Linked DNA regions of Diceros bicornis minor. The protein of the gene in region 1 purifies or fractionates together with the protein of each later gene. This does not show direct contact. Links are inferred from orthologs where the notes say so. Each region holds a gene or a part of one and is shown on either strand. Other genes may lie near its edges.

What was found. The genes of interacting proteins can lie anywhere in the genome.
Region 2: the proteins of YWHAE (region 1) and HDAC5 purify together in Homo sapiens (affinity purification with western blotting; 7 studies listed by BioGRID and IntAct, with this or other methods). This does not show direct contact. The link is inferred for Diceros bicornis minor from reciprocal best matches to the Homo sapiens genes YWHAE and HDAC5.
Region 3: the proteins of YWHAE (region 1) and MAP3K3 purify together in Homo sapiens (affinity purification with mass spectrometry; 7 studies listed by BioGRID and IntAct, with this or other methods). This does not show direct contact. The link is inferred for Diceros bicornis minor from reciprocal best matches to the Homo sapiens genes YWHAE and MAP3K3.

Annotation. Positions count from the first base shown.
Region 1 is NC_080757.1:16,308,192-16,315,126, forward strand, and holds the start of YWHAE (14-3-3 protein epsilon), read left to right. Parts: upstream 1-3,931; 5' UTR 3,932-4,022; coding exon 4,023-4,086; intron 4,087-6,935. UniProt on the Homo sapiens protein: Adapter protein implicated in the regulation of a large spectrum of both general and specialized signaling pathways. Binds to a large number of partners, usually by recognition of a phosphoserine or phosphothreonine motif.
Region 2 is NC_080757.1:42,737,356-42,744,839, reverse strand, and holds the start of HDAC5 (histone deacetylase 5), read left to right. Parts: upstream 1-4,474; 5' UTR 4,475-4,769; coding exon 4,770-4,920; intron 4,921-7,484. UniProt on the Homo sapiens protein: Responsible for the deacetylation of lysine residues on the N-terminal part of the core histones (H2A, H2B, H3 and H4).
Region 3 is NC_080757.1:46,479,125-46,486,403, reverse strand, and holds the start of MAP3K3 (mitogen-activated protein kinase kinase kinase 3), read right to left. Parts: upstream 3,011-7,279; 5' UTR 2,624-3,010; coding exon 2,620-2,623; intron 1-2,619. UniProt on the Homo sapiens protein: Component of a protein kinase signal transduction cascade. Mediates activation of the NF-kappa-B, AP1 and DDIT3 transcriptional regulators.

The sequences.
Region 1 (6,935 bases):
ACCGCTAAGCCAGGGGGCCAGCCCTATAAAGGATATTATAAAGAATGCAAATGAACAGTCAGATGAAGAAACACACAGAGTGAGCTTCTGTCCCTGTATGGTTTGGGATGTGCCACTCTCCTGGCATGGATGTGTTCACCAACCTGGAAGCCCTCTGAGCCCCGTTAAGTTTTTTACAGAGGTTCTTTTACCTAGGTATGATTAAGTCATTGGCCATTGGTGACTGACTCAATCTCCAGCCTCTCTCTCATCCCTGGAGGTCAGAAGTTGGGTGAGTGGGGTTGAAATTTCTAATCCTCTAATCACCTTTGATTCCTCTGGCAACCAGCCCCCATCCTGATGCTATCTAGGGGAACACCAAGAGTCACCTCATTAGCATAAACTCAGGTATGACTGAAAGATGCTTATTGTAAATAACAAACAAAACTCCTCACCCCTATCACTTGGGGAAATTACAAGAGTTTTAGGAGTTCTATTCCAGGAACCAAGGACAAAGACCAAATATGTTATTTCTTATTATTTCAGGATGTCACAGTGTTTTTCTAGGAATTTGTCCATTTCATTTGTTATCCAATTTATTGGCGTACCAGTGTTAAAAATACTCCCTTACAATCCATATTTCTCTTTCTTTCTTTTTTTTTTTGGTGAGGAAGATCAGACCTGAGCTAATGTCCATCGCCAATCCTCCTCTTTTTGCTAAGGAAGACTAGCCCTGAGCTAACCATCTTACTCTATTTTGTATATGGGATGCTGCCACAGCATGACTTGACAAGCATTGAGTAGGTCCGTGCCCGGGATCTGAACCTGTGAACTCTGGGACGCTGAAGTGGAGCGTGCAAACTTAACCACTATGCCACCAGGCTGGCCCTTAATCCATATTTCTGTAAGGTCGGTAGTAATGTCCCCACTTTCTTTTTTTTTTAGGAAGATTGGCCCTATGCTAACATCTGTTGCCAATCATCCTCTTTTTCCTTTTTTCTCCCCAAAGCCACAATACATAGTTGTGTATCATAGTTATAGAGTTGTAGCTCTTCTATATGGGACGCCACCTCAGCATAGCTTGATGAGTGGTGAGTAGGTCCGTGCCCAGGATCTGAACCGGCAAACCCCAGGCCACCAAAGCAGAAGGTGTGAACTTAACCGCTACCCCACCAGGCTGGCCCCAGCCCACTTTCATTTCTGATTTCAGTAATTTGACTCTTCTTTTTTTCTTAGTCAATCTTCTTTTTTTCTTAGTCAGTCTTCTTTTTTTCTTAGTCAATGTATCTAAAGGTTTTTCAATTTTGTTAATCTTTTTAAAAAACCAAATTTTGGTTTGTTGATTTTTTTTCTATGTTATTTATCTTCACTTTAATCTTTATTATTTCTTTCTGCTAGCTTTGGGTTTACTTTGTTCTGTTTGTAGTTCCTAAGGTGTACAGTTAGGTTACTAACTTGAGATCTTTCTTTCTTTTTTTTTTTTTGTGAGGAAGATCTGCCCTGAGGTAACATCTGCCAATCCTCCTCTTTTTGCTGAGGAAGACTGGCCCTGGGCTAACATCCATGCCCATCTTCCTCCACTTTATATGGGATGCTGCCACAGCATGGCTTGCCAAGCGGTGCGTCGGTGCGCACCCGGGATCTGAACCAGTGAACCCTGGGCCGCCGCAGCAGAGCATGCGCACTTAACTGCTTGCACCACCGGGTCAGCCCCGAGATCTTTCTTTTTTAATGTAAGCATTTACCACTATAAATTTCCTTCTTAGTACCATTTTTGCCACATCTCATAAGTTTTGGTATATTGTGTTTTTGTTTTTATTCATCTCAAGGTATTTTCTCACTTCCCTTGTGATTTCTTCTTTGACCCATCAGTTATTTAAGAATGTTATTTCATTTCCACATATATGTTAATTGTCCAGTTTTCCTTCTGTTATTGATTTTTAGCTTCATTCCATTGTGGTAGGACAAGATACTTCATATGATTTCAACTTTTAATATTTAAGACTTGTTTTATGGCGTAACATATGGTCTTCAGTTCCTTAACTTTACAGATGAACATGAAGCTCAGAGGTGAAATGACTTGCTGAAGGTCACACATTTATTTAGTTATAGAATTAGGACTAGAACCCAAGTTTTTGATTTTCAGTCTTTTACCATTGAAATTTAATATTTGTTACAAGTGTGAAGGGGCTTAGTTTGGAATGCAGTAAGGAGCCATCCAGTCTCCTCTGCTGGCTCTTCTGCTTTCACCTATCTCTTAAAAGTAGGTATTTTCCAAGGTTTTGTGTATGGTCCTCTTCTACCTCTACACACTCTCCAGCTGCTTCCACGGCAGCCTCCCTTCAGTTTGGAATGCCAGTCCACCTTTCCATTTCCACGCTGGTTATTTCTACCTGTGAGATCTTTGAGAACCTTAGAACCAACATGTGCTAAAAGGAACTCGTGTTTTCCTCTGCATTCCATCACCAAACTTTCCTAGTATTCCTACTTTTTGTTAATGGTATTGCCATTCAGTATCCCAGTGATTCAAGGTGGGAAGATGGAAAGTCAATTTTAATTTTTTGTCCCCTCACAAGATCTCTACATCTGATCAGCTACAAACTCTTCTGGCTTCCGTCTGCAGTACTTACTATTCCTGTTTGTCCTTTCCTTCCTATTTTCACTGCTACCGTCTATTACCTTTTGCCTGCATTATTGTAGTATAGCCTGAGAATTTATCCTCCTCTTTAATCACTGCTCTGTACAACATATTAGTTTTCTAAAGTATAACTATGATGGTGTCATCCTCCATGCAAAATCATCAAAAAATAGCTTGTGCCCACTGAATAAGGTGCAAACTTCTTAGCTTGCCATCCAAGGCTCTTCATAATTAGGTTCCAACCTACTTTTTATTCTACATTTACTGCAGACCCCACCACACAGCTTATGTTCTAGTTACCTGAGCTTCAGTCTTGCAACAGATATGGTATTGAGTACAAGGTGCTAGGAATCCATTGGGAAGCAAAACAGCTTCTTTCCTGTGTGAAGCAATTTCCCTTCCTGTCTCCTCAATCTTAATTTGATCTTCGTCTCACTCTTCTGCACCTTGCACTCCAGACCAGACTCCTTTTTTTTTTTTTTTTAAAGATTTTATTTATTCATTTTTTTCCCCCCAAAGCCCCAGGAGATAGTTGTATGTCATAGCTGCACATCCTTCTAGTTGCTGTACGTGGGACTCGGCCTCAGGTTGGACGGAGAAGTGGTGCCTTGGGGCGTGCCTGGGATCCGAACCTGGGCCGCCAGCATCAGAGCGCATGCACTTAACCGCTAAGCCACGGAGCCAGCCCCAGACCAGGCTCCTTGAACAACTTCCCTGTTCCTATCCATGGTGGGCCTAAGGGGAAAAAGAAAGCTAAAGGGCAGGAAAAAAAAAAGATGGCGAAGTGCGAGGGTGAAGTTGAGGTGTGAAAACTGGAGCCCCCTTCTCCCACCAACCATAGCAGGTCCCAACTCTTTACCTGGGGTCAAAAGGGTCTAAACAGGCCCAGGATGGGGCTTGGCTGAGAAAACAGGGCAAAGTAGGAGAGAGAGCAAGGTGGTTTCAGTGAGGAAGGCCTGCCATTACAAAAACAGTTACAGCCTCCGGCTTTCTCTGCCCCCAGTCAGGCGTCCGCCCTCGCTCAGGGCCCAGGCTCTCTCGCTCACTCTCTTCAGGAGCTGTCCAAGCCAGCCTCGCCTCTGGCGTCCCTCGCTCCCTCGGGGCTGCTCTCCCTCTCCGCAATCGCAGTTCCCGCCTCAGCCCTCTGGCGCCCGCTGAGCCCACGGAGGAGGGGCGTCTTGCTGGTTCCAGTCTCTTAGGGCGCCGAGCTCCCGGACCCGCCCCCCGCGCCAGTTGCCAGGGAGCGGTTGCCATAGAGCTGAGCAGTTGTCCGCGTGCGCAGGCGGAAGTCCCGGATTGAGGCGCCGCCATTTTTGCTGCCCGGACGCGGAGCGAGAGGCTGAGAGAGTCGGAGACGCTATCCGCTTCCATCCGTCGCGCAGACCCTGCCGGAGCCGCTGCCGCTATGGATGATCGGGAGGATCTGGTGTACCAGGCGAAGCTGGCCGAGCAGGCTGAGCGATACGACGGTGAGTTGGGGGGGCAACGGGGGGCTGGAATTCTCGGACCCTCTGCCGCCGCCCACAGAGGCCAGGAGCAGGAGACAAAATGGCGGCGTCGTCTCCGAGCCTGGCCCGGGGATGTGGATTCGGGAAGCAGGAAATGGCCTGTGGGCTCCCGGAGCGGTGGGAGGCTCCAGGCCCAGGAATGTGACCCCTTCGGCGTCCTCAGCTGCAGACACTCTCGAGCCAGGAGGCCGAGGCCATAGGGTGGAGGAGTTGGTTGTAAAATGGCGGCTTGGGGGAGGGCGAGTCCCGGGGCGGGGGAGGGGGAGGAGATGGCGGGTGCTGTCTCCGGGCGAGCAGTCCTCAGGGGAGCTTCTGGGCTAGTCTTGGGATGTGGAAAACAATTGGGTGGGGAGATGGAAGAAGAAACACTCGCCACATGGGGGAGAGTGGCGACCGGGAGCTGTAGCGCGGGCGCCTTTCAGGGAAATATGGCGGGTGGGGGCGGTGGCTTTTCTCTGGAGGCCCAATGTGGGGCGGCGGCTGTGGAGTCTCACAAAGGAGAACCTTTGCGAGCAGAGGGGTTCCTTGGGCTTGTGGTGGGGGGCAGTCTTGGAGGAGGGTGGGGTAAGGGGAGAGTGGGAATCACTGCACTTCATCCTTGGGCGGAGGCCAGCTGAGATGCTGCGATCGGATTTCTTTCCCGTAGGCCGGCACACCTTGGAGTGAGGGGCTTTTAGGCTTTACGTTCAACCTCGCCGTCTTTTGGCGGAGGTCTGGAAGGACCTCACTCACGCTCCCTTTCTTCGGACTCATCCCGGAGAGCTCGAAGGTCCTGTAATCATTTTCTGGCTCCATAAGCTGTGGATTCTGGTGGATAGAACGCTGAACAGGAAACAAGGAGACCATGACTTCTGGTCCCTTTCCCATGCTTGTGCCTCAGTCTGCCAGTTTGTAAAAATGATGACTTTCCTGTTTACACGCACCGTTATGACAATGGAAAGACCTGTTGAAAAATAAAGTTATTTCAGATAACGTTGAGTAACTGTATTTTGGTTGTCACCCGTCTGGGAGTGCCCGTTCATTGGGGATCTTAACCAATCCCACGCCCTCAGTTGAGGCTTGGGTTTTTGGATTATGAACGTAGGGGATCCCAGCAGATCCTATTTTCTTTTTTCCATTTTAAATAAGAGATTTGAGGTACAGATTTGAACAGTTTTTCTTTGCTCCTTTGCCCCAGAGGTTCTTTAGTCATTTTTGAGAACTTTATCTCAATGTGTGTAGTGTCTGTTTAGTCAGTCCCAGGCTGCTTTGTTTAATTGCTCCTCCCCCCATTTTGGACCTAGGTACTTGAATTACTTCCACATCCTTTAAACTGTAGTATTATAAAAACAAGAAATCATGTATGTGCTTCTGTGGTTTTAATGCTGTTGTAGGGTGAGACATAGTTGGAATCAAATGCTATAGATCTTTAGACTTCTTTTAATTACCTAAGCTTCTTTTTAAAAATGTTATGTAGGGCTTTTTCCTTGATGCCAGTTTGGTCATATGAATAGCCTCAGGGCTGGTCTCTGTATCATCATACATTAGGATTCAGGAATTTGAAAATTAAGAGAAAAGACCTCGAACTGAAACCTAGGAAAGGTACTGTACTAAATTTCATTTTGTAAATCCTTAAATTACTCTTTGTATTGAACAAGGTTCCTGTGGGCAGGGGGAGGGGAATAAGATGGGGAAGTACAGCTCAAGGTCAGATTTGTCTTTATTTCAGTGTTTAGAAGTCAAACAAATGCTCATAATGGAAGTTTTTTTTCTTCTTCCCCATCATGCCCCAAATAGGTTCACCTCTTAATCTATCAGTGCCCTTGGGAGGAAACATGAAATTATATTTGAGTGCTTTCTGTTTTGTAGAATTTTAGCCTTTTAGTAAACTTGCTGTGATAACCAAAAAGGGCGTAGAGGAAGGTTTTTTTTTTTTTTTTAAACTTGTTTTAAAAACCGACTTGGAAGCTCATGATTGTAGCTCCCAAATAGGTGACAGTTTAGTGATAATCATATTTTGGTGTTGAGTGCTGAGGCTTTTTGACCAAAGCCTTCATTATTTAACATAGGACTCTTTAGATAAAGCCATTTCGTTACGTTGTGTAAACGTTAGGTGTCTCCTTAAGGATCTGCCAGGTGGGAAGGAACTCCAGTGACTGTTGGGCATGAGATAGGGATTCACTGGAAAGGAAGAAGAGGAAGACACTCCTCAGGAATCAGCCACTGCCTGTGTCAACTCCTTTATTGGGTGCAATAATTCATTTTTGTTTGTGCCAAGTGATCCCATAGTTTTAGTCACCAAACAATTTATCAGGTGTGGGGAATGGAAGAAGGTGAGAGTGCATTTGAATGATTTGGTTTTGTATAAATGCTGGCTTTTCTCTTTGTTCCTGCAGTACCTTTATCTTTTGTTTTGCATGGTATGTTGAACCTTATTTGTATTGTTTAACTCTATTCTGGGGAATTGGAATCAATTTATGTGGATTATTTAATGGTACTGGAGGAAGAGTTAAGCTCTGTTCAGGAAAAGGACAGTTTGAGGTGGTGGATGGGATATATTGAAGTTTGAGGCTAGGAGTTCACCCTTAACAAGTCAGTAGATTAAGGAATAGTTTTTGTATCATCCGTAGCCATATTAAGGAAGTCCCATCACCTTTAAGCAGTCCTGAACTAAGTCTTAACCTTCCCATATATCTGAATCACATTAATACAGAAAAGTTGGGAATATAGCAGGAAAAAAGATGAGTACTTTTCACATTTTTTGAGAGTAGAGGGGTAGCATAAACTCTATTTGGGTTTGTGGAGTAGTTGCTCGTTTTGTCCTTTCCTCC
Region 2 (7,484 bases), about 26 Mb from region 1:
ACCTCCCACCCTCTCCCGTATCCCTGAAGACTCACTCCTCTTTCCTTAGGGCACACAACAGCAGGCCTGGGTGAGGGGCAGAGAGTTCTCTGCTGTTCCTGGTTCCCCTCAATTTCTTTCAGTGCAGGAACTTGCCTATTTGGCAAGTGTTTGTTGAGTATCCCCAACATTTTTTTTTTTTATAAATTTTATTTTATTTATTCATTTTTTTTTGTGAGGAAGATCAGCCCTGAGCTAACATCCATGCCAATCCTCCTCTTTTTGCTGAGGAAGACTGGCCCTGAGCTAATATCCATGCCCATCTTCCCCTACTTTATGTGGGACGCCGCCACAGTATGGCCTGACAAGCGGTGCGTCGGTGCGCGCCTGGGATCCGAACCCGGGTGGCCAGCAGTGGAGCGCGTGCACTTAACTGCTACGCCATGGGGCCGGCCCCCTCCCCAACATTTCTGACTCTGACCTTAGCCTGAGGGGAAACAGAAGAAAAAGTAGAAGATGGTCCATCTCTGTCCTCATTGCAAGCGAGTTAGTAAGAGAGAGTGTCCCGAATGAGGGGCGGCAGGCCGGGACTTGGAGCAGTTTACTTCTGGGGCTCACCCCTCCTCCTTGGGGAATGGGAGCTGATCGACTTACCTGTGGGCTGGACTGGGCTGGATGCCAGCATTTGGCCTGATTTGCCTCTTGCAGTCCTGGGAATACAGGCAGAGGCCACTGCTTCCCTGAGGAGGCCTCTCCCTGGTATCTGCTTCTCTTCAGGCAAAAGGGGGCTCAAGGAGTGAGCTTTTCTTTATTTTTCTGAAACTGATCATGTCTGCTCCCCTCAGTGGGATTGAAGGACTGACTGAATCTGGCCCCTGCCTGGGCTCTGCCGGCCAGGTCGGAGGACCTCCCTGGGTCCTGGGCAGAGGCTTGCTCTGATCACTGTCCTATCCTCTGTGCCCTTGCCCAGAGGTGAGGGCAAGAGTGAGGCCCACCGTGCGAGCCAGTCTAGATGGTGACAGGGTCCCAGGAGGAGGCAGCCAGGTTCCTTAGCCGCAGCGTGGGAGGGAGACAAGCTTCATGACAACGCCTCCTTGCCCAGCACCTCCCAGCACGCTCCCTACTTTCTCTCCTTCCCTTTTCCAGGAGGGAGGGCGGGCAGCTGCCCCCTCCTTTCTGGGTGACCAGAGAAACTGGGGCATGGGCGTGGGGTAGGCCAGGAACCTCGGCATCCTGCCTCCCAGCCTTGGGCTTGGGCTCTGCCTCTGAGCCCCTGGGGAAGGCGAGCAGCCAGCCCTGAGGAGGGGAAAGTGGGTCAGTGGCAGCATGGGGCAGGGGTCGGGGAAGTAGATTCCTGGCGTCCCTTCTCCACTTAGATGTCGCTGGCGCACCTCTGTGTTCACTATAGATTGGGATCTGCTCTGCCCTCCTCTTCTCTGTTCCATCATTCCAAAGGGATTGAAGGCTTAGAATGGATGGTCAGAGGAGGCAGGGTCAACCCCGAGGGGATGTGGAAGATGCCAAAGGAGATGTTCACGTTTTTCCTGGACTTGGTTTCAAGTGAGAGAGTTCAGCCAGCACCTAGCATGAGACCTGGCACATGGCAGCTCCCAGGCAATGCTGACGGGCTCCAGCATGACTGGGCTCAAAGGGCAGGAGGGAGCCGGAGGGCAGGCAGGCCCCAGGGCAGCTGGCACTCCACACTTCATCTGGGGTGCTCCTGGGCCAGCTCTTGGCTTTTTTACTGTGCACAAAGCAGACGGGGCTTTCTTCCTTTCAATCAGGGCGCCCTCCAGCCTTTTGGGCCCAAGAAATGGGAGCCTGCAAGAGCTCAAGGAGCCAGCATTGGGTTCTCCTCCTCCAGGTTTAGAGGGTTAGGAGGCCTGCACCCAGCCTTCAAGGGAGGGAACAAGGTCAATGTGGTCTGGAGGGGTTAGTGCTGGCTCCGAAGGAGGCTCGTATACCCCATGCTTGGTAAGTGCTCTGTAAGGTTTGTGGGATGACACTTGGGAGAGCTGGATGAGTGGGCATGGAGAAGAGAAATGAACCATGAGGAGAGGGGCTATAAAGCAGGAAGGATTGAGGTTAGACTTTGGAACGATTGAGGTTGGACATATTTGCATCACTTGAATCTCAGAAGGAAAAAAGACACTTGTCCCCATCCCAGCCCTCCTCTCTTATTCCCCTGGAGGATTCTGGGAACTGCACCGTGGGTTGTCTGGCTGTGTCTGGCACTTTGCTTCCCACTTCAGGTCCGGACTTCATGAAGTCGGGACAGTGTTGAGAATTGCCCGGAGCCCTTGGCTCTGCACCCCTGGGTGTGCAGTCTCCTGGGTGCCCCTATCTTCCCTAAGCAAGGAGTTCTCTTTCCTTAGGTTTTTGGCTATTCCAGGTTCTGGGGGCCCTGCTTTTAAGTTGCTGTAGCTGATGACTTCCTTTCCTCCAGATCAGGGCTCCCCTACCGTACTCTCCTGTGCCTGGGGCAGGCAGAGAGAGCCAGGACAGGGCTAGCCAGCCCTTCTGGTTGCTCCCAGCGTGGGTGGGCGGAGTCCTGGGCTGGGAGGGGCTGCTGCCCCTGGCTTTCTGGGCTCCCTTGAGTCTGCTGCCCATCACCCCGCTGAGGGACATGGCCTTCCCTTCCCTTTCTCTTGAGAGAGAGCCTGGTTGGCCAGGTTGAGGTTGGGGCAGGGGGTGTTGAATCAGGTCCCCAGACGTGCCCTGAAGTGTCCACTAACACCAGAGGCCTGTGGGGAGCACTGCTCCATCACTGTTTTTCTAGAGTCTGCTGGCTGAGAAGCTGAGGATCCAGCTTTGTTTAGGTTCTGTTCCCCCCTCTCCCCTAATATACATCTTGCCAGCCAGTCTAGGGCCTGGGAAAGCCCACCTCTGCCACTTCCCCTCTCCATGTGCTCCCTCCACCTGAGGGCAAGGAGGCCCCTTTGCTGTCCCTGGCTGGCAGAAGCCCTCTGGGAAGATGGGCTCCAGGAGCCACAGCCACTGTGTCCTTGGTTGGCCAGCTCCTCCTGGGCTCCTGACAGGAGGGTGAGGTTATCCAGTCCAGGGAGAGGACAGGTGTCCCTGGCTCCATGCCTGGAGTTGGGGGCAAGGAGGGGCCAGGAGGTGCCTCCAAAATAGCAACTGTGACATCAGGAAGGGGGAGGGGAGACACAGACCCAGGAATAACCAGGCTATTAAAGGCTGCAGTGAGGTCAGGGGGCCAAGTGGGATCTCTGGACCAGTGGGAGGCACAACCTGAGGAGAAGAGATGGCCTAGAAGTGGGCAGTGTGGGTGGGCGTCACCAATCCTCATGGTGCAATAGCCTGAGGTCCCAGCAGGGCCCCACAAGCAAGGGCTCCTCTGCCAGGCTTGGGGCTGGTGGGAAAGAGCTGGATGCTGGCAGCCTCTTGACTCTATTCTTAAGGAGGCTCCAGCCTCAAGTCTGTACCTACTTGGGTATTGGGGGTCACTGTACCTGTTAATGGAAACCCTAGGGCAGTTTCATATACTCCCTTGTGCAGGAGGCAGTGGGCTGTGGTGGTTAGAGGTCAGACTTGAGCCTCAGACATCCCAGCCCTACCATTTAAGCAGCTGTATGACCTAGCATGAGTGACTTCATCTCTCTGTGCCTTGGTTTCCCCATCTGCACCTATCTACTGAGGTCATTGTGCAGAATAAATATGGTAATGTATGTACTGCTTTTAGCATTGCACCTGGCACATTGCCAGGGAAGAGCTAGCTGTGTTCTGAGAATGGGCAGGTGATCCCTGGTCCTCTTTCCCTGGGCGAGGGCGAGGCCTGTCCGGGAGGAGTCTCCCTGCCCACTGGAAAGAAGCCACACAGCCTGTGGAGGCACCACCTCTAATGGGTAGGAGGAAGCTGCCAATTAGCTACTGCTCTGGGGTCTCCCTGCTGGTTGCGAGGGCAGGGAGGCACCTTCCAGTTCTGAGGGAAGGCAGAAGTTAAATAAATTCCCTTCTGGCTGTTAGAAGGACTCCAGGGAAGATGCAAGGTTAGGCCAGGTGGCCCTGCCTGCCACCCTCTCCCAGACCCTTTTGGTTCCTTTACCTGCTCTGGATGGCGAGAGGGAAGATAGAGGATAGAATCTGGCTTTTTGGTCTCCATCCCCTTGCCTGCCAAGAGCAGGGCCAGAGCTGCTCCCAGACGCATGGGTATTCGGCAGTCCTCCCCCAGCCCAGCCTCTGGCCACCGGGCTCTGTGGCCTTGGCCCTGAGTGCAGGCCCTCCCCTGTTCCCATCCCCCTGCCTGGCGCTTCCTCCTGGGGTGGAACGCGCCTCCCCCCCCCCCATGGGGCCTCCGCCAGGCCCGGGCTCCTGGCAGCCGGCCGGCGGCTCCCTGAGCATGCTCCACCTATTTATAGACAGGGCCCTCCCCCAACTGCTATTTCAGTCTTCTGCCAGCTGCCGGCGGCTCATTCGGGAAGGAGGAGCAGGGAGCCGGGCCCAGAGCTGTCACCTAGGGCTGGGAGGGAACACAGAGAGCCCGCCTTGCCTGCTGAGCTCCCCTTCCTGTCCCGAGTGCTGAGCCATACCCCAGCTCCAGAGAGCTGGGGAAAGGCCGGTGGTCAGATGCCCCTCTAGAGGAGAGCTGGGCCTGTAGCTCCAGGGCCTCCCGGCTCCTCCTGCGGCAAGGAGTGCCCAGGCCGGATGAGGCACCTCCCCACAGTGCGGGTCCCCGCAGCAGTGGCCTGAGGGAGCCCCTGAGCAGTGAGGGCCCTGCCCCACCACCTTCCCTTTGGCCGACTCCCGCCTCCGGCGGCCCCCTCCCTGGCATGCTGCTGGTACCCAAGGCTCAGGGGCTTGTGGAGATGCTGCAGACCATCTATGAGACAGAATCCTGTTTCTCAGCAGATGGGATGTCAGGCCGGGAACCATCCTTGGAGATCCTGCCTCGGACCCCTCTACATGGCATCCCCGTGGCAGGTAAGTACCTCGGTGTCCTCACTTGCCCTCTGCCATTGGGCATCCTTGTCCCTGGGGCTGAGCATCTTGCTCCAAGCCTCGCCCAGATGGGGTCTTGCTGGATCTTTCTGGAGGGCTTTGTTCAGAATATGGGTGGTCAGGGGAGCCTTGCTCACTGAGTGGGCTTTCCTGCCCTCCCTGGCCCAGAACCTGCCCTCCTGCCATGCCTTCCAGCTGCACTGTGCTGCATCCCCTTGAGTCCCTTTGGCCTCCAGCAGGGTCAGCATCAGCTGCCGGGGGCTGTGTATTACTAGAGGATCCTGGCCTAGTTGGCATGGTGGTCAGAGGGGAGGAAGTGGGTCCTCTGCCTCTGGGCCGCCTACTCCCCAGGTCTGGGCAGAGGAAGAAGCCATAGCTGGAGGGTCCATAAGAATAAAGGCTACCCCAGCTCCTCTGGCTGGGTTCTTAGGGGCAGAGGATCGATACAGTGAATTCTGCAAGTCCCCACTCAGGAGTCCCCTGGGAATCAGACACCTGGGGAGCAGGCTTGATGCACTTGTGGTCAAGTTAGGCAGAGGCTGGCAAGTAGGATGTTGGGGGCCTGGCTGCCTTAGTTCCTAGCTCCCCCATATCTCTCCTTCCCCCAGGCCTTGGTTTCTTCCCATCAGATGAGGATGAAGGGATGTTACTGTGGCTCATACAGGCTTGAGGACCCCCTAGCCCTGCCACCTTTTCAGCAGGGACTTTTCTGGCTCTTTGCTGGGGGTGGGGTCCCCCAGAGCTGGGCCACTCCCTCCCAGGAACCTGTTGGCAGCATCAGGCCTTTTCTGGCACAGCCTCCCAACCAGGCCGGCACCACAAGATGCTTCCTCTAGGGAGGGGCCTGCTGGACCCATGCCTGTTTGGCCCCTCCTGGCAGTGGCTTGGCACTTGGGTGTGGGTGTCTATGTGTGTATGTATAGGGAGTTTTTGCCTCTGGATATGTGGGTGTGGGTCCCAAGCTTTGAACTGGAAGTTGGGAGCTGTGTGCCTATGCAGGTACCTGTGATTTGGCTCTGAGTTGTCCAGGGATAAGGTTGCAGCTGGACTGGGATGTGTCAGAGGATGAATGTTTTGGGAAGATTTGGAAAACCCTTGGAACAAGGCCGGCTGTCTGCCTGGGCAGGGATGCCCATGCAGTCTCCCAGGGGAGGGGCATAACCCTGGGGGCCAGTCTTGCAGGGCAACCACGCAGGCCGCTGGGATGGGGGCATAACCCTGGGAGTCAGTTGTGCAGGGTACCCACGCAGGCCCCTGGGAGGAGGTATAAGCACAGAGGGCTGGTCTAGCCCTGATCTAGTTGAGCCTGCAGCTCTAGCTAAAGACCCTGCCTGCTGACCCCTACCCCAAAACCTCTGGAGGTCAAGGTGGTCTCTTGGAAAGCAAAGGACCGACTGTGCAGAGCATTTGCTTGGGAGCAGCTCCACCCATCTGGCAGATGCCGTATCAGTCCACCCATCCTGCCCTGTCCCCCCCGTCCCTTGCCTCCGAGCAGTGGCTGGTGGTTGGCCTCCTCAGCATATTGTCTCACCTTCTTTCAAGTTAGACTCCAGAAACCTTGCAAGCTGGAACCCTGCTACCCCCATCCCTTCCCTAAGGCTGCCTGTCCCTGCATAGATCCCCCCAGCCAGTCTCTCTCTCCAGATCCTTTTTGCACCCCCCCGCCCCGCCCCATGTACACTGCCTAGCCTTCTGAGTGGTGGCGTGGTCCATACTGGCAGGAGGGAGGCGTGAGTCACCTCAGCGGCTCGGGGAGAGGGCTAAGAATGTTCCCCCTGCGCAGCTCTGATGCTGTGTCTCTGACGCGGCTGGGGACAGATATAGGCCTGGAGCTCGCCTGCCTTGTTTTTTTTTTTGGACTCTGGAATGTAAATAGATGTTTCAAATAGAAACGCTTTAACCTTTGGGTTAAAAAAAAATCCACCCCAGATAAACACGGCCATGAGGGCCCAGGCAGCCTGGTGTTCCCCCCACCCCCCACCTCCTCTCCCATCTCTTGATCAGTCTCCAGACAGGATGCAAAAGCCCATGGCTGAAAAAGCAGGTGGCCAGGGACGCCTCTTGGGCAGTGTGTGTCGCCTGGCCTTCTCAGCCCCAGGGTAGGGGCAAGGGGCTTTCCAGGGTGGCTGTCGACCCTGGGCTCTTTGATTACTCTAGCAGCAAGTCTTGGGAACCCTATTTTAGGGGCATCCTTTGCTTTCTGCTGTTCCCCAGCACTTAGCACAGTGCCTGGCACATGGATGAATGAATATTGCTTGAGGGGGCTGGCGTCCAGGGCTGATGGCAGGATTCCTGGGCTCTATTCTGGGGCTTGGCCCTCTGAGTGACTGGAGACAGCTATAGTGAGCTGCCCCAGCGGGGAGCCAGAGCCTTGGCAGGCGGAGCCCATGAGGGATGCAGGGCACTCTCTGCTGTTCCTGCCTGAGGAGAGGGACAAATCGCACCTGCCTAGTGTGATCAGAGGTCTTCCTTGACCAACGGGGTCTCTGCCTAGCTCCTTCAAAACAGCCCAGCATACAGTGGCTACTTCCCTCATCCAGGCCTGG
Region 3 (7,279 bases), about 30 Mb from region 1:
CTTTTCGCTTGAGGAAGATTATCCCTGAGCTAACATCTGTGCCAATCTTCCTCTATTTTCTATGTGGGATGCCGCCACAGCATGGCTTGCTGACTGGTGTGTAGGTCCACGCCCAGGATGGGAACCCTCGAACCCTGGGCCTCCGAAGCAGAGCACACAAACTTAACCACTATGCCACGGGGCTGGCCCCCAGTCAGTGGTTCTTTTTTTTTTTTTTTTTTTAATTTATTTTTTTCCCCAAAGCCCCAGTAGATAGTTGTATGTCATAGCCGCACATCCTTCTAGTTGCTGTATGTGGGACGCGGCCTCAGCACGGCCCGAGAAGCGGTGCATCGGGGCGCGCCCGGGATCCGGACAGGGGCCACCAGTAGCTGAGCACGCGCACTTAACCGCTAAGCCACGGGGCCGGCCCTAGTCAGTGGTTCTTAAACCAGCTTGCCTAATATACTGCAGCCACCAAATGAGAAGACACTGAGTTTCTGGTCCTTTTTTCTTTGGGGATCTAGATCCTACCTACATAGTTCCTTTCCTCCCCATCACCGTCTCTCCATATACTCACATATTTAAATTTTTTGAAAATGTCTTGAAATGTGAAAACAGGCTGACATCTATTTTCATGTTAGACTATGAAATGTAGCCAACACATCTGGGCACTCTAACTAGTTTAGCAGTCAAGAAAGTGGGGGAGGGGGGAGTGCCGGCCAGCCCTGTGGCTTAGTGGTTAAGTGCGCTCGCTCTGCTACTGGCAGCCAGGGTTCAGATGCCAGGCGCACACGGACACACCGCTTCTCTGGCCATGCTGAGGCCGTGTCCCACATACAGCAACTAGAAGGATGTGCAACTATGACGTACAACTATCTACTGGGGCTCTGGGGAAAAAAAAGGAGGAGGACTGGCAATAGATGTTAGCTCAGAGCCGGTCTTCCTCAGCAAAAAGAGGAGGATTAGCATGGATGTTAGCTCAGGGCTGATCTTCCTCAAGAAGGAAAGAAAGAAAGAAAGAAAGTGGGGAGTGGGAGGTCTGCACACCGCCAAGTATTTCACACCCCCTTTGGGGCTTAAGACTACCCCCACAATTCAAAGATTTAGTTCAATCACCAAATTCTAGAACACAAGATAAATGTTTGAAGCCTGGGGAGGACAAGAAGAATTATGCACCCCATTTATAGTAAATGTTCAATAAGTATTTGTTCAATTACGTAGTTAAATACAAAGCCTTACTAGGTTCCTTTTTTGCCTACTGTCATAGGAGACTTTCCAAAGAGGAGCAAGCACTTCTGAGGTAAGGGAACGAAACAGTAAGCCCAGCAAATGAACAAACCCATCCCTTACTGAATGAGGGGCAGCATGGAATAGAACAAGGCAGTTCATTCAAAGCCAGAGTGTACAGACAGGCTGCAAAAGAATATCTGCCCAATGTGACACAGCATACACTTAACCCCCTACAAAAATGACTTGACCTTGCTATAGGGCAAAGCAAATATTAATGTTCTCTCTTCACATGGGGCACTTCACAGATGCAATGAATGGCTTTGCAAAGGATCCCTTCACTGAAGTTTACCCCTTTATTATTTAGGATAATACCAAATACTTTGCAAAACTTGTGATTGCGGACAAGAGTATCACAATAACTGATTCAACAAGAGAAGCAAAATACATCTAAAATGTTATTTGCTTCTTAATCTAGTCCAACAGGCATTTGCTAAGTTACCAAAAAGGACATGAAATACAATTCAGTTCAAATGCTGCGTGCGGAAGACATTAAAAGCCTTTCTTAGATTACATCTTCACAACAGAAATTGCAAATATTGATAAAAAGGAAATGATTTCATAGAGACTCTTTTGTGTAGCGAATGCTGCTCTCTTTCAAAAGTTACATAATTTCAGGGATACCGCAAGATAAAAATAATGGATGTAAAACACTGCAACCGGATTTTCAAAAAGCAGGATGTGAATTATAACTGGCAGCCCCCGACCAATTCCTAACCTCCAGCAATCTGCGTGCAGCTCGCATTTCTCAACCGTGCTGTTGATAACAGTGATTGCCGTTTTAATCACCTCGCAGCCTATCTCCCGCACGCCCTCCCCTCTGCTCCCGGGCGCGCACAGGGCTCGAGAGCGAGCCCCGGGAACTCTCGCAGGCCGGCCAGTGTGAGCAAAGGGAAGGAAATGACACAGGCAGGAAAAAAAAGCAAATCAAGGAAAAGACACAACAGCAGCTGGGCCTGCACCAGCCTCCAGCCCGGGCCCCACACTGCGCTCTCGCTCCCCCGCCCTCGGGCTCGCGGGCCGGCTCGCTCGGGCCGGAGCGGGCTGCCCCGCCGAGCACGGGCCCTCGACCCGGCCGCCGCTTCCTCGGGACGCGCCCGCCGCGCGGCCCGGAAGGAGGCTGCCGAGGGGGCTCCGCCGGCCGGGACCGCCCCGGCGGGCCGGGGGCGCCAGAACCCCCACCCGGGCCGCGGAGCCGCGAGCGGGGCGGGCGGGCGCGGCGGTCTGCAGCCCCGGCCGGGCGGGCTGTCCATGCCTGTCAGGCGGCGGCCCAGGGTCCTCCTCCCCTCAGCCCGGGGCGGGGCGACGCGAAGCAGCGCGGGCACAGGCCGGGGCGGTGGCGACACTCACCCATGGTGGCGATGGCGGCGGCGGCGGCTTGGGCCCGAGTGTCACCTGCGCAGCCAGGGCTGCATGCCGGGGGCCCGGGCGGCGGGGACGGCAGCGGCCCTGGCTCCGCGCGGGGGGCGCGGGCTGCGCTCGGGGCCCCCGCCGCCTCCCCAGGCTCCGGCTCCGGCTCCGCCCGCGGCCGGGCGCTGTGGCATGGGCAGGGTGGCCCGCTACATCCCTGGCGCTCCTCGGCTCGGCCCAGCCCGGCTTCGGCGGCGCCGCTCAACCCGCCCGCCCGGCAGTCCCTCAGTCTCGCAGTCTCTCCGTCCGGCCACCGTTCTCCACCTCAGGAACGCTCCGAAAAACAAACCGCTGGTCGCGCAGCTCGCCCCCTTGTCTGTCACTCACCCCAGCACCCACCAATCCCAGGGAGTCGCTGGACCTTCGTACCACCCCTACTCACTTCAACAGCCAATAAGAAGAAGGAAGCCGCTGCTCCCACCGCCCCCCCCCCGCTCCCTCCCCAACTCGCTCTCAGCCGCCAGCTAATCACCAGCACCACACGATGAACCATTCCCGCCTACTCTCACAGGATGCCAATGAGTGAAGCCACGGCTGTTTCTGAGGGCTGTCTACCGCCTGCCAATCATCGGAACAGCGCCTGGTTCACTCCGCTGCTAGCCAATCACGTAGAGGCCTCTGAGCACCCGCCTCTGCGCATCCCCCGGGTCTTGGCTGCCCTCTCTCCCCGGAGGTGTTGGTTACTCCAATCACAGCTCGCGCGTGAAGCTCCGCCCACATCCCCACCTCCCGTCAGTCACCGAAGGTTCGGCGGGCGCGCGGGCTGGCGCGGTTCCCCGCCGGCTACTTTGGGCCAGGAGTTTGTGACGGGGGCTGAAGGGGCCCCCTGGCCTCTCGCCCTCCTGGCTCTCGGCGGTCCCTGAAGCCAGCGTCCTGCCCTTCCCAGTGCCCACACCGGGCGCGTAGTAAGCGGAGAGCGTTCTGGCTCTGAGCGCTTCCCGGCGTGTGTCCACCTCTGCCACCGGATCCCCTGGCAAGTCCGCAGCTCCGGTCCAGACGCTGTGCTTGCCCGGAGGCAGGGGCGGCCTCACCACTGCCCGCCTTTTCCTGGGTCTCATACCTCCGAGGCCACACCCTCCGAGGGGCTGGGGTAGTGCTGGAATGTGGGTCCTTGGAAATATGGGAGTTCCGCTGCTGGCCTGGGCCGAAACCAGTAAGTGGCAAAATCAGAGCGGTTCTTTCGGGAAAAAAAAAACTTTTTTTTCTGGTTATAAAAGCAATACAAGCTCTTTGTATTAAAATTGAAAAAGATACTTAAATAAAAATCCCACCCCAGAAATAATTTTATCTTTTTCCTACCTAGATATACAACGTTTGACAAAGATGTCTTCATATTGGTTTGTAGTGTGCTTACATTTTAAGTGTTTTCCTGTGCTACTGAATATTGTTCCAAATCAATTGTACTGGCTGCATGATATTTCAAAATAGAGAGTGAACATAATTAATTTCCCCATTGTTCAACATTTTATACACTCAGATCTTCAGATTCCAAGTCCACCACAATTAATATGGGCTCCCTTCCTCTGGTCCCTGTTCAAGTGTATTATAAATTAGATGCCAGAATAATCTTCCTCAGATGCCATTTTCAACTATCAACTAAGAACATTTAGTGCTGGCTTTGCCTTGGGTGTTGAATCTCTCAAGAATTACCTTAGACTCCCATATTTACAACCCCCACCCCCAATATTTAATCAGGCCTCTTATCCTGTTAGGTTTTTTTTTCTCCAACAAGCTTTTAAGTCCATCATTTTCACTCTTGATTAGATCCCTACCCAGTTTATTGTAGTTCTTTAACTATAATAATCTCTCTTTTCTGGGAAGGGGAGATAAAGGGGAAAGAAAAGTAATATTTATCAGTCATTTACTATATGCCAGGTACATCATCTCATTTAACCTTTTCAATAACCCTGATGTAAGTGATACTATTGGCATTTAAATGATGAAAGTGAAGCTCAGAGAAGTACCATGTCCAAGTGGTAGAGCCAGGATTCCTACCAGGTCCATCTGACACCCAAAGGCCATGTTCTTTCACTAGGCTAGTGTTTCTTGACTGTTTTTTCATTATCACCCCCTAAGGAGAAAATTTTAAATTACTTAAATTCTCCCTAATGAGAGAAATTAAATACTAAGGAATAAGATTTTGTCAGGTAGGGTTGAGCTTTGAAGGCCACATACCACTGTATTATCTGATTTTTTTTCACCCCTTAAGAATCATTTTTCACCTGTTGGGGATATCACCCTGGTGAGAATGCATGTAATAGGCCAGTGCTGGAGGTCACAATCTGCCAATCTGAGGCTCAGATCTGACCCTTAATTTTATTGACCTGTGAGATAAATATTAAAAAGAGACACATTTATGCCAGTGGAAATCTGTACCCACTCCTTTGCCTGTATCCAGAGGTCTATTCAGCAGCTTCTCTTGGAATGTCTAAAACATGTCTCCAATTTAACATGTTTTACACTGAACTCTTGATTCCTTCCCCCCTTCCCAAAAAACCCTGCTCCTCTATCTTCCCAACTGTTACAATACAAACCTAGGAGGAATATTCCTTGATTTCACTCTTTCTCTAACACCCCTATATCCAATCATTCAGCAAGTCTTTTCAGCTTGCTTCAAATCGTATCTGAATCGAACCACTTCTTACCACTACCACCCTAGTCCTGGCTGCCACCCTCTCTCCTGGATGACTGCCTTACCCTCTTAATTGGTCTCATTTCCTCTGTGATCACCCAACAAATGGTTCTCCACAGAGCAGCCAGAGTGATCCTTGTAAAATGTAATTCAGATAATGTCACTCCCCTGCTGTCAAGTCTCCAATGGCTTCCCATCACACTTGGAATAAAACCCAAACTTTGTCGTGGCCTTCCAGGCCCAACAGGAGCTGGCCCCTGCCATCCTCTCCTGTCCCATGTCTACCACTGGCCTTCTTACCATACTTTGAACCTACCAAGTTCAGGACCTTTCACCTCAGGTCCTTTGCACTTGCCATTTGTTCTGCCTGGAATGCTCTTCCTCAAGATGTTCCCATGGCTAATTCCTACATTTCATTCAGGTCTCTGCTCAAACATCAACTACTTAACAGTTCCTAACCACCCCATCCAAAATAGTTTCTCTCTCCTCCGTCATTCTGTATCCCCATATTCTGCCTTATTTTTCTTCATAGTGCCTGTAATTATATATTTGCTTATTTGTCTTCTCTCCACCTACAATGAACATAAGCTATGTAGGAGCAGGGACTTGGTCCTGTTCACTGCTCTATCACCAACACTTAGAATAGTGCCTGGTATATAGTAGAGAACTGCCATACAACTACTAAGCCATAGCTGAAAAGAGCCTTCTGATTTTCCTTCTACTGTTCTAGTAACTGCTTTTTTTGAGGGCTTCATTTCCATTGTCTGTCCCTTAACCAGCCGTCTCAGACATTCTCACACTGCACTTAGCATACTGGACTATCTTCCGAACTCTAGAGGCGTCACTCCTTGCGTATCTATCCCATAGGCACTTTGGACTCCACAGGTCCAAACTGAATTCATCATCTTCCTCCATAGTTCTCTATTTCCTCTCTCCATCTTCAGTTCCCCAAGTTGGATGCCTTCGAGTTGTCTAACTTGGAGAGCTCTTCCTCTCCATTTCCCTTCCCCCAGAGCTAATCTAGACCATGTCTCCAATCTGTCCACTCCTCTCCTGTCCCCAGCTCCACCATCCTAGTTCAAACCACCAAAATCTCTTACTTGGATTAGTGTAACAGCCTCCCAATGTGTGCTTACATCACAGGGTGATCTTTTCAAAACAGACACCTGATCTTGTCATGCTCTGCTTAAAAACTTTATAGTTTCCCATCGCCCTTAGGATAAGTCAAATACAGGAATGTAGCTAAGAAGGCCCTTCAGGAGCCAGGCCATTCTCCAGCCACAAGTTTTTCATTTTCCCACCTCCCCAACCCTATCATTCAAATTCTATATTCTGGCCACACAGAACCACTGGCAATTCCTCAAATATGACTCTCTCCCGCCTCTACACCTCTGCATGTGCTATTTTTCTCTGTTTCAAACTCTCTTTTCCTGCACTCTTGCCTCCACCCCCGTTCTGTCAGGGAAGAACTAAGCATAAACATCACTCTCTCCAGGAAACCTTTCTAGGCAGATACCCCCAAATCTGGGTACCAGAGCACCTGGTACTTTCTTGATCAAAGTACTTGTCCTACTCTAATGTGATTGCCTTTAAGAAAGTAAACACAGAGACAGAAGCTGTGTCATTCAAATTGGTATGTCTAGCATCTTTCATAACACATTCAAAAAACAAGTATTTGTTGAATAAATGAACCTCAAATGGGGATGCTAGTAATTGAATATAATTTCCACAAGTGTGCCCTTTTAGCTATATATTTTATCTGCTCTTTCTATGTTGTTTCTCCCCTCACTCTTCATTTTCCCCATGTGAAGGCTCCCAGCTAGGCCATGCCTTCTCAATTCTGTTCCCCTGGTTTTACACTGAGTAGATGCCCTTGGTTAAGCACCTGAGCCATATCTGACCCCAAAGATCACAACCTACCCTTAGTGCTCAGGACCTCAGAAAATGCTGGTCCCGTTAGGCAGCCCA